2 linked regions of the Arabidopsis thaliana genome follow. The protein of the gene in region 1 interacts with the protein of each later gene in a biochemical or structural test. Each region holds a gene or a part of one and is shown on either strand. Other genes may lie near its edges. The genes, in order: RAB8 and BTI2.

Region 1 (4,923 bases):
CTCTATGTCTCTGCTTCTGTGCTATTTGAAGACTCCATTTTTTAGTTTAGAAAGAATATTAATATTTTTCTGGAAGGAAAACAATAAATTAAATTCTCTTTAATTTTGGAATATGTCCGGACCCGAAAGTGTCAATGTGGCAAGATTTTATTGGATGATGGAAAAAGAGACATAGACGGAATTCCTAACGGCGGTGGGGTCAACGTAAGGTTTGGCTGTCTGATACACGTTAAAGTGACTCGGATTGCGAGGAGTCCACGTTAAGTCTCCGTTAGCTACTGTTAATTTGGGGAATATGCTGGAGAGAGTTGAGATCAGGTGTTGGCGAGTGCACCGAAAATTCGTGTTCAGATTTATGACATCGCAATTTCTCTGTCGGTGGATTACAAACTGCAATCAAAAGAAAAGCATATGTTAATCTGTCAAGTGAATATTCGTTTTTATTTTCTTTCTATACATAATGTATATGGATAATTCAAACAAAAAGATGTGTAAAATGATAAATATGGGTGTTTATCGTATTTTATATAGTATTAGGATTCATGCAAAAATGCATGGATTGTCTATGATAGTAATTTTGGTAACTATTATTTTTTTATTTTTTTTATTTTTTTTTTCAGCTGGTAACTATTAAATTAGTAGAATTTAAAATAATTTATACTTTTAGGATTCCTATGATAGTATAGGATTTCTATACTATTTTGATATTAGGAGTTTAAAATAAATTACTAACTTATTATTATTTTAAATTATTAGATTTATACTTTTAAAAGTATTAGATATTATATGGATTTTTGTTGTTTACAGCTCTTTTTTTTTTTGGTATTTGAACTCGTATTATAATCGGTTACTGGCATTGATTGATACAAGTCACCAATTACCATCACCGTAAGCACCGTTTTATGATTAATTTTTATGATAAATATACACGTGCATTTCAAATAATTACCATTTTCATATCGGAAGGTTTTGGATAATCTTTCTGACTTTTTGTATGGTAAGAGTTTAATGAGATTGGGATAAAATTGGATAAACATGAATCTCATTGTAAATTGGAGTTAAAAGCATTAATAAGACGATCACATTAACGTAATAATTGCAGTCTACATTCAAAACAAATCTGAGAATGTATGCTTTAACTTTTTCCTTTAATGTCAATGGAATCACTCTTCGTATCCATTTAGAAAAGGAAACTAGATCGTATAATTTAGGAAAGGCTTACGTCGTGTCGTGTCATTCCCTAATTTTTTTGGATAATAGTTAGATATCGGAAATAATTGGATAAATTTGGATTAACATAGAACTAAATAGTGTAAGAGTAAAAAAAAAACATTAAATAAGACAGTATAGGGGCTTAAACTTTTTTGTTACCTCAAGGACGATATTTTAAGTAAAGTTAGCTTTCCTTTAATGTCAATGGAAACACTCTTCGTATCCATTTAGAAAAGGAAATGGATCGTGTAATTTTAGGAAAGGCTTTCGTCGTGGCATTACCTCATTGGTCGTGAAGAAGTGAAGATGTGGACTTGTCCGCAGCGGATGATCGGTGGATGGGGTTGAGTAAACGAATGCTCATGCAGTACATTAGATGCTACGTAGGATCATTGTAGATTCCTATCCACGCTTTATTCTTTGGATGATTATTTGCTTAACACCGACGACAATATATTCAAATTTCCTCAATTTGTCAATCGCTCTCTTTTTGCCTAACTCTTATTATTATTATTATTATTTTGCCTAACCTTTGCGTCCCCTTGGAGTTAAATAATTGAGTTTATTTACAAGTGAAGGGATTGAAACAACTTTTTTTTTCCCAGAGCTTAATCGCAACGCAACTCAGAACGAAATATAGAAAAATACATATACTGTATGAATATACTTCATCAATTCTGTAACCTGTTGGGTTGGATCAGTAAGAATAAACTAAACATTTAGTGGACACCAAATCATAAATTTAGCACACAAAAATAAAACTAGCCCAAGGCCCATGGTTCGAAATTTATCAAACCGTAACCGAAGACCACGCGCCGGACCAACACAGATCTCCACGAACAAGATCCAACGGTCCAGATCCATTCCCTCTCCTTCTCCCTCTTCTCTCTAACCAAAAAAAAAAAAAAAACTTCTGAATCTCCGAAAAAAGCCAATCGGGGGAAGAAAAAAATTCAACGGCCGTCTGGTTACTGTCTTGCTTGCTTCCGACGATCTATCTTCCCCGAGTAGATTTGGTACTTCCTTCTTTCGATTTTTAGGTTCTACACAATTGATTCTCGATTTAAATTTTGTCTCCAGTTTTTGCTCTCTTTGCTTACCAGTGATCCGTTTCTCGGAAATTACTTGATTTTGTTAAGAAATGGCTGCTCCTCCTGCTAGAGCTCGTGCTGATTACGATTACCTCATTAAACTTCTGCTGATCGGAGACAGCGGTAGGTTTCTATATCATTCAGATCGTAATACTACCTTTTGTTCCCTGCATTTTATTCAATCTCTATCTTTTTGTTGATTGATTCTCTCGATTTTTGTTGTTGTTGATTACAATTTAAGTTTTGTTTGAAGGATCTTGAGACAACAGTGATTTGAGTAACACATCTTACTCAGATTTGGATCTCATTTCAACAATTGTGAGCATATGATGTTCATAGTCTTCTTAGTTTGGTATTAGGATGGAGGAGAATCACAAATGAATGCTGTAGCTATTTAATTATATTCTCTAGATGTTAATGCCGCAAATGCTTTAGCCAAATTGATTTGAATATTCCTTTGTTGATTGTTGTAAGTAAGTGTTTCACTATGTTCCAGTGGATTATTCTAATGTCTCTGTTTTATCTGACTTTTGCTTTCTTTCATGTACCAGGTGTTGGTAAGAGTTGCCTTCTCTTACGTTTCTCAGATGGCTCGTTTACCACCAGTTTCATTACAACTATTGGGTATGATGTCTTCATGCAATGACACTGTGTTATCACGTCCTCTATGTAGTTCACTGTTCTTACTCAAGTTGCTTTTTGTTTTTGACAGGATTGATTTTAAGATACGGACTATTGAGCTCGATGGGAAGAGAATTAAGCTGCAAATCTGGGATACTGCCGGACAGGAGCGGTTCCGCACAATCACAACTGGTGTGTTTTCGATCTTGCTTTTCGTTTTCTCTTTTTGCTGTTATTTATGCATCTTTGCCTTCCTCGCTGGAATACACCTGAGTAGTTTGTTCTTATTGCAGCGTACTACCGTGGAGCCATGGGGATTTTGCTTGTGTATGATGTGACTGATGAATCATCTTTCAACAGTAAGTACTCTCTTTACTTTTTACTTGCAGTCCTTATGCCACCCAACAAGCTCTTGCAACGGTTCTAAACTTTATATTTTTCCATTTGCTAGCTTTATTATTTTCTACTCAACTAATTTGTTCTTTTTCATCCTTTGTTTTCTTCAATTCCAGACATCAGGAATTGGATCCGTAACATTGAGCAGCATGCTTCTGATAGTGTCAACAAGATTCTAGTTGGGAACAAAGCAGATATGGATGAAAGCAAAAGAGTCTCTTCTTTTACCCTCCCTCCTATCTTCGTCCTGTTTAAATATTATATGTTTCTATTTGGCTAATACACCGATTTGCTTTGTTTTTCCAGGCTGTGCCAAAATCTAAGGGCCAAGCTCTTGCAGATGAATATGGAATGAAGTTTTTCGAGACTGTAAGTTGTTGTCTATGTTTTGTTACATTTCAATAGATATAGGGAAAGGTCTAATTCTTTTTAAATGGTTAACTTTGATGAGTTTGCTAATTGCAGAGTGCCAAGACTAACTTAAACGTTGAGGAAGTTTTCTTCTCTATTGCTAAAGACATTAAGCAAAGACTTGCAGATACCGATGCACGAGCTGAGGTTCGTTTGAGCTATAGAATTAATTTCCACTGTCATCATTCATACATTGCAATTGTGGTAAAAATCACATTTCAGTATGTGTATCAACCTTACTAACGTCATCGAATTTCTTATCATTTTTGTAGCCGCAAACAATCAAAATCAACCAATCCGACCAAGGTGCGGGAACATCTCAAGCTACTCAGAAATCAGCATGTTGCGGCACATAAAAATTGGGTCCACGACGCCTGTCAAAGGAGAGAATCTGGCTAGTGAAAGAGAAATGGTATTTGGAAAGAAAAAATGAAAAAGGAAATCAATCTTCTTTTGCTTTTCTTCTATATGAGATGGTGTTTCTACGTATTCTTTTAAGATTCTCTCTTTCCCTAATGGTATAGTGTGACTGTGAAGGACACAATTCGTATTCCATATTTCTGGAATGGATTCTCTGACATCAGATTATGACTTATGATAATATCAGTTTATCTCACTCACACACCAATGATATTGGATTCTATGTATACATTCGAGAATGGTTCTGTTTCAAACTTTCAACTATTAATGTTTTATCACTCATTGCAAGAATTGAAACCTTTTATTCAAACAAATTGTGTATGCATACATGACGGAAAGAATGAAATAATGTGTAGCAAGAGAGAAAAAAACAACAACAAAAGTACAGAGAAAGGTTTAAAACCCTACTAATTCACAAACTTCAAATCAATTTGTGGAACCAAATTCTTCCCAAAGATTAACACAAGATCATTTTCCAATGGAGTTAGATTTAAGTCCAAGATCTCCTTGCTGCTACTGCAACGATTAAAAACCGGTCTGGAATAAACCACAGAAGGGACAATCGATTGCTCGGTTATCATGCTCGTCCTATGCTTTCTCATGTGACCGCCTAGAGCTTGACCGGTCCCAAACATTTGATCGCAAATTGTACACTTATGCATATCATTCTCTTTGTTACGATGCTTCACCTGTTCTTGGTCAACGATCAGCTTAGGTTTCTTGTGGCTAGCTCTATGACCTCCAAGAGCTTGGAAGGAATCAAATTTCCGGT
Region 2 (4,723 bases), on another chromosome or scaffold:
CCATTTTCTATTACTTCTTCCCCTGGAGATGATTATCTCAGCATTCACATTCGTCAGCGCGGTGATTGGACAGAAGGGATTAAGAAGGCATTCTCAGTGGTATGTCATGCCCCTGAAGCTGGAAAAAGCGGACTTCTCAGAGCAGATGTACCAAACCAAAGAAGGTGCATAAAATTCTTTAAAATTCAATATATTATTCTCAGAATGTGAATTTTGATACTCTCTCTTGTAATATAGTTTTCCAGAGCTGTTGATAGATGGACCTTATGGCGCTCCAGCGCAAGACCATTGGAAGTATGATGTGGTATTACTGGTTGGCCTTGGAATCGGCGCAACACCTTTCGTTAGCATTTTGAGAGATCTACTCAATAACATTATTAAGCAACAGGAACAAGCTGTGAGTATAACAAGCTTAAAAACCTTGTTGATGAGTAACAGAATCTCAACTAAACTTTTTTGGAGTTATGTTATATTCTCAGGAATGCATCTCAGGTAGTTGTAGTAACAGCAACATCTCGTCGGATCACAGTTTCAGTTGCTTAAACTCAGAAGCTGCGAGTCGGATTCCGCAAACTCAACGGAAGACGCTGAATACCAAGAATGCTTACTTTTACTGGGTAACACGAGAACAAGGCTCGTTCGATTGGTTCAAAGAAATCATGAACGAGATTGCTGATTCAGATAGAAAGGTAAAAACAATACACTTATTCATTTTAAATTCAAAAGATTGTATGATTTCAAGTTACTCACTGACGTATTTGTCTTGTGAACAACTACAAGGGTGTTATTGAGATGCACAACTACTTGACTAGCGTCTACGAAGAAGGAGATACTCGATCCAATCTTCTCACTATGATCCAAACGTTAAACCATGCCAAAAATGGCGTCGACATTTTTTCAGGAACCAAGGTAATGATCTTTAATGATTAGTTGATTACTTTATCACAAACAACACTCTTTTCTGATCTTGTATAACAACTTTTGGTTATTTTAGGTAAGGACACATTTTGGGAGGCCAAAATGGAAGAAAGTTTTATCAAAGATTAGCACCAAACATAGGAACGCAAGAATTGGTAACACACAGAAACATCAGTTCACTGAAATGATATTCGATATCGCGGTGTATATTTGCCTTGTCTGAAGAATGTTTTTTTGTTTGTTACAGGAGTGTTCTATTGTGGAGTTCCAAGTTTGGGGAAGGAACTTTCAACACTCTGCCATGAATTTAACCAGACGGGAATTACCAGGTTCGATTTCCACAAAGAACAGTTCTAACTGGTAAAAGGATTAATCCCCCACGATTATGGTTTTTTGAATGAATGAATCAATGTTCATGTTCGTTCTCGTATCCTACTTGTTGTGTTTTCTTTTCGTTTTGTGTATCACAAATACCAACTTTTAACCATTTCATCTAGAGTAGGACTGTTAAAAAATGTAAAAAGTCACAGTTAAAGCTTGTGAAGAAAAAAAGAGTGTAAAGGAGTAAAAATGAGAAATTCAAACAAAGGGGGATGATGGGATCATTGGGATGATTGGTTCTGTCTGTTCAATTGTTTTCAAATTTGAGCACTTATTATTGGGCCTGTCTTTGAGCTCTCTTATTATTATGGGCCGATAACTAGTTTGGCCCATTTGGTTATCAACTTGAAAATGAATGAAGAAAGCTGGGGAAAAGGGTCTTTTTAAACCCGAACTGACTCAAAAGCCTCAAAAATTTCACTGTTCCTTGGTTCTTGACCGGTTTAGAATCATGGTTTCGGTTTTGAATCATATTTGCTTTCTTGGACATGAGAAAGTAACTGGGCTTCATCATTGTTTTAGCTCATTGGGCCCATATTACGACTCGAGCTAACGCTGTCAAGTTAAATGCTTTTTCACTTTCTAGAGCATTCTTTTTTAAACACTTCTTTTAACCAAGAGACGGTTCCTACTTCTCTAATATTTTTATTTTCTAGTTTTTTGGCCAGCAGCAAAATATTATTTTAATTTAGTGTCAAGATAATTAAATTATCATTGTCTTTTGAATGCAGACCGAAAGTACATGAGTCACATAAGCAAGCGGCTACGATTCAACCACGTGTCACATGACCACCGGTTCGACCGTTTCTTTGTCCAGCCGCGTGACACCTGAACCAGAAAAGTTTAATAGCCATTTTAATAACAGAGCCGTTAATTACACGTGACTTAAAAAGCCGTTATCCTTAACAGCGTTAACATCTCGGTCCTGTGAAAACACTTTTTATATGTCCCCACGACATTTATCTTTTCCTAAGCATCGCTCTAGTTAAGGAAGCAGCAGGTTTGGATCCGAACCAACCAACGGATCAGATCAGAAACAAAATATTCAACGGCTCAGATTTATTCTAATTTTCCTCCTTTTATTGTTGGTTTTTTCATTCGACTTCGAGATCTTTCTTCTCAGAGGTGTAACGAAAACGCTAGAACAATAACTTTGATCGTTCTTCTTCTTCTCTTGAATCGGAAACAATGGCGGATGAACATAAGCATGAAGAATCTTCACCTAATTTGGATCCAGCAGTGGAGGTTGTAGAGAGGGAATCGTTGATGGAGAAGTTATCGGAGAAGATCCATCACAAAGGTGATTCGTCGTCTTCATCATCATCAGATGACGAAAACGAGAAGAAGTCTTCGTCATCGTCTCCAAAGTCTTTGAAATCGAAGGTTTATCGTTTGTTCGGAAGAGAGAGACCTGTTCATAAGGTTCTCGGCGGCGGAAAACGTATGTTTACTCTGATCCCGTTTCGATATTTGTTCTCAGTTTTTTAAAACGAATTCGTTTGCGTTGGCTTGATCTGTTTGATTTTCTCACTAGTTTAAGGGATCCGTGAAGAAGATCGTTTGAATCTACATAGAGGTTTACATTGATTTGAATTCGATTTCGATTTTGATTTCTGACTAGTTTGAGAGAATTTGTGATGGAATTGATTTTTTTTTTTTTGGAAATGTGTATAATGATCTTGTGAGATTCTTGTAGTTATTGATGATATGGTTCTTATTTCGTGATTGATAAACCCTAATTTGGTGATCTTTTTAATTGCAGCGGCAGATATATTTATGTGGAAGGACAAGAAAATGTCAGGAGGTGTATTTGGCGGTGCTACAGTGGCATGGGTGCTATTTGAATTGATGGAGTATCATCTTCTTACTCTGTTATGTCACGTTATGATCGTTGCTCTTGCTGTGTTGTTTCTATGGTCTAATGCCACTATGTTCATTCACAAGTAAGTTTTGTGGTCAATCATATGAAACAGGTCAAGGTTGTCAAGCTTATTTGACTCATCTTCGTTACCAAATTTTCATTCTCTTTCAGGTCTCCACCAAAGATTCCTGAAGTTCATATCCCTGAAGAACCTCTTCTTCAGCTTGCTTCGGGTCTTAGAATCGAAATCAACCGTGGGATCTCTTCTCTTCGTGAGATTGCGTCGGGGAGGGATATCAAGAAGTTCCTCTCTGTATGTTTAAACTGTCCTGGACTTACTCGTTACTCCTCTCTCGATGTCTCACTTAAGTTTGACACTTATTGTACTGTTTGATTGAATTAGGCTATTGCCGGATTGTGGGTTCTATCGATCTTGGGCGGCTGCTATAGTTTCTTGACATTGGCATACATAGGTAACACTTACTGTTGCTAAAAGTATTTTGCTTCTGCCTTCTCTCTTATTCTGACATTGCTGATGAACGGTTATTGATTTGGTCCAGCTCTGGTTCTGCTCTTCACTGTTCCTCTTTTCTACGACAAGTACGAAGACAAAGTAGACTCATACGGTGAGAAAGCAATGGCTGAGTTGAAGAAGCAATACGCTGTGTTGGACGCAAAGGTATTCAGCAAAATCCCAAGAGGACCGTTGAAAGACAAGAAGAAGGATTAGTTTTTTTTGGGGTTTTTGTTTTGTGTGGGTTTTCTTTGGAGTGCAATGTGCACAATGCTCTGGTTTTTATACACGTGGGTTGTGTTGTGTTGTGAATTGGTAATCTAAAAGGTTATGTGTTAGATCTCAACCCAAATTTTACTTGACAACTTTGCTTTGTTTTTGGAGTGGTTTGTGGCATTAGCACAATGATTGTAGTCGTTCTCTTGATCTATATTTTTAATGTACTGATTGATTTCTGTGTTTCTAATATGGTACGTTACTCAAATATCGTTTTTTCTCGATTATATATTTGTAGTATGTCTTGATATCAAACAAGTCAGGATGGCCGAGTGGTCTAAGGCGCCAGACTCAAGTTCTGGTCCTCGTAAGAGGGCGTGGGTTCAAACCCCACTTCTGACAATTTAGATTTTTATTTTCTCTGAGCTCATTTTTTAAGTGTTTGTTACTTTATTTGTCCAAAAAATAAAAATATAACATGTTTGTATATTTACTGGTTATATATATGTAATAAGTATGAATATTAACAAATGTCAGTATGGCCGAGTGGTCTAAGGCGCCAGACTTAAGTTCTGGTCCTCTTACGAGGGCGTGGGTTCAAACCCCACTGCTGACAATTTATATTTTTGTTAATTTTAAATTATAATTACCTTCTTTTTTCTTTCCTTTATACTATGTTTTCTCATTTAACCATGTTTTTGTTTTTTCTTAAACGGTCTTATGTTTCTCAGGTAACAATCAGCTAAATAAGTAACTAGTTAAAAGTTAAAACGCTTAAGATCAATTTGTATCAAATGGTGAATCCTGAAACATAATAATATAATGGGTTCCAC

Evidence for each region.
Region 2: the proteins of RAB8 (region 1) and BTI2 form a complex in vitro, tested with the Arabidopsis thaliana proteins (one study listed by BioGRID).

What each region holds. Positions count from the first base shown.
Region 1 is NC_003074.8:19,875,695-19,880,617, reverse strand, and holds RAB8 (RAB GTPase homolog 8), read left to right. Parts: upstream 1-1,825; 5' UTR 1,826-1,923; coding exon of another isoform or gene 1,924-2,076; 5' UTR 2,077-2,228; exon of another isoform or gene 2,229-2,351; 5' UTR 2,352-2,353; coding exon 2,354-2,426; intron 2,427-2,854; coding exon 2,855-2,927; intron 2,928-3,015; coding exon 3,016-3,116; intron 3,117-3,217; coding exon 3,218-3,283; intron 3,284-3,436; coding exon 3,437-3,534; intron 3,535-3,626; coding exon 3,627-3,689; intron 3,690-3,785; coding exon 3,786-3,878; intron 3,879-4,003; coding exon 4,004-4,087; 3' UTR 4,088-4,386; downstream 4,387-4,923. Other genes in the region: AT3G53611 (uncharacterized protein), read right to left, coding at 1,924-2,076; AT3G53600 (C2H2-type zinc finger family protein), read right to left, coding at 4,559-4,923. UniProt on the Arabidopsis thaliana protein: Involved in membrane trafficking from the Golgi to the plasma membrane.
Region 2 is NC_003075.7:6,837,343-6,842,065, reverse strand, and holds BTI2 (VIRB2-interacting protein 2), read left to right. Parts: upstream 1-2,029; 5' UTR 2,030-2,487; coding exon 2,488-2,740; intron 2,741-3,061; coding exon 3,062-3,242; intron 3,243-3,331; coding exon 3,332-3,473; intron 3,474-3,563; coding exon 3,564-3,633; intron 3,634-3,720; coding exon 3,721-3,890; 3' UTR 3,891-4,155; downstream 4,156-4,723. Other genes in the region: AT4G11230 (Riboflavin synthase-like superfamily protein), read left to right, coding at 1-164, 238-397, 480-689, 781-909, 995-1,073, 1,166-1,275.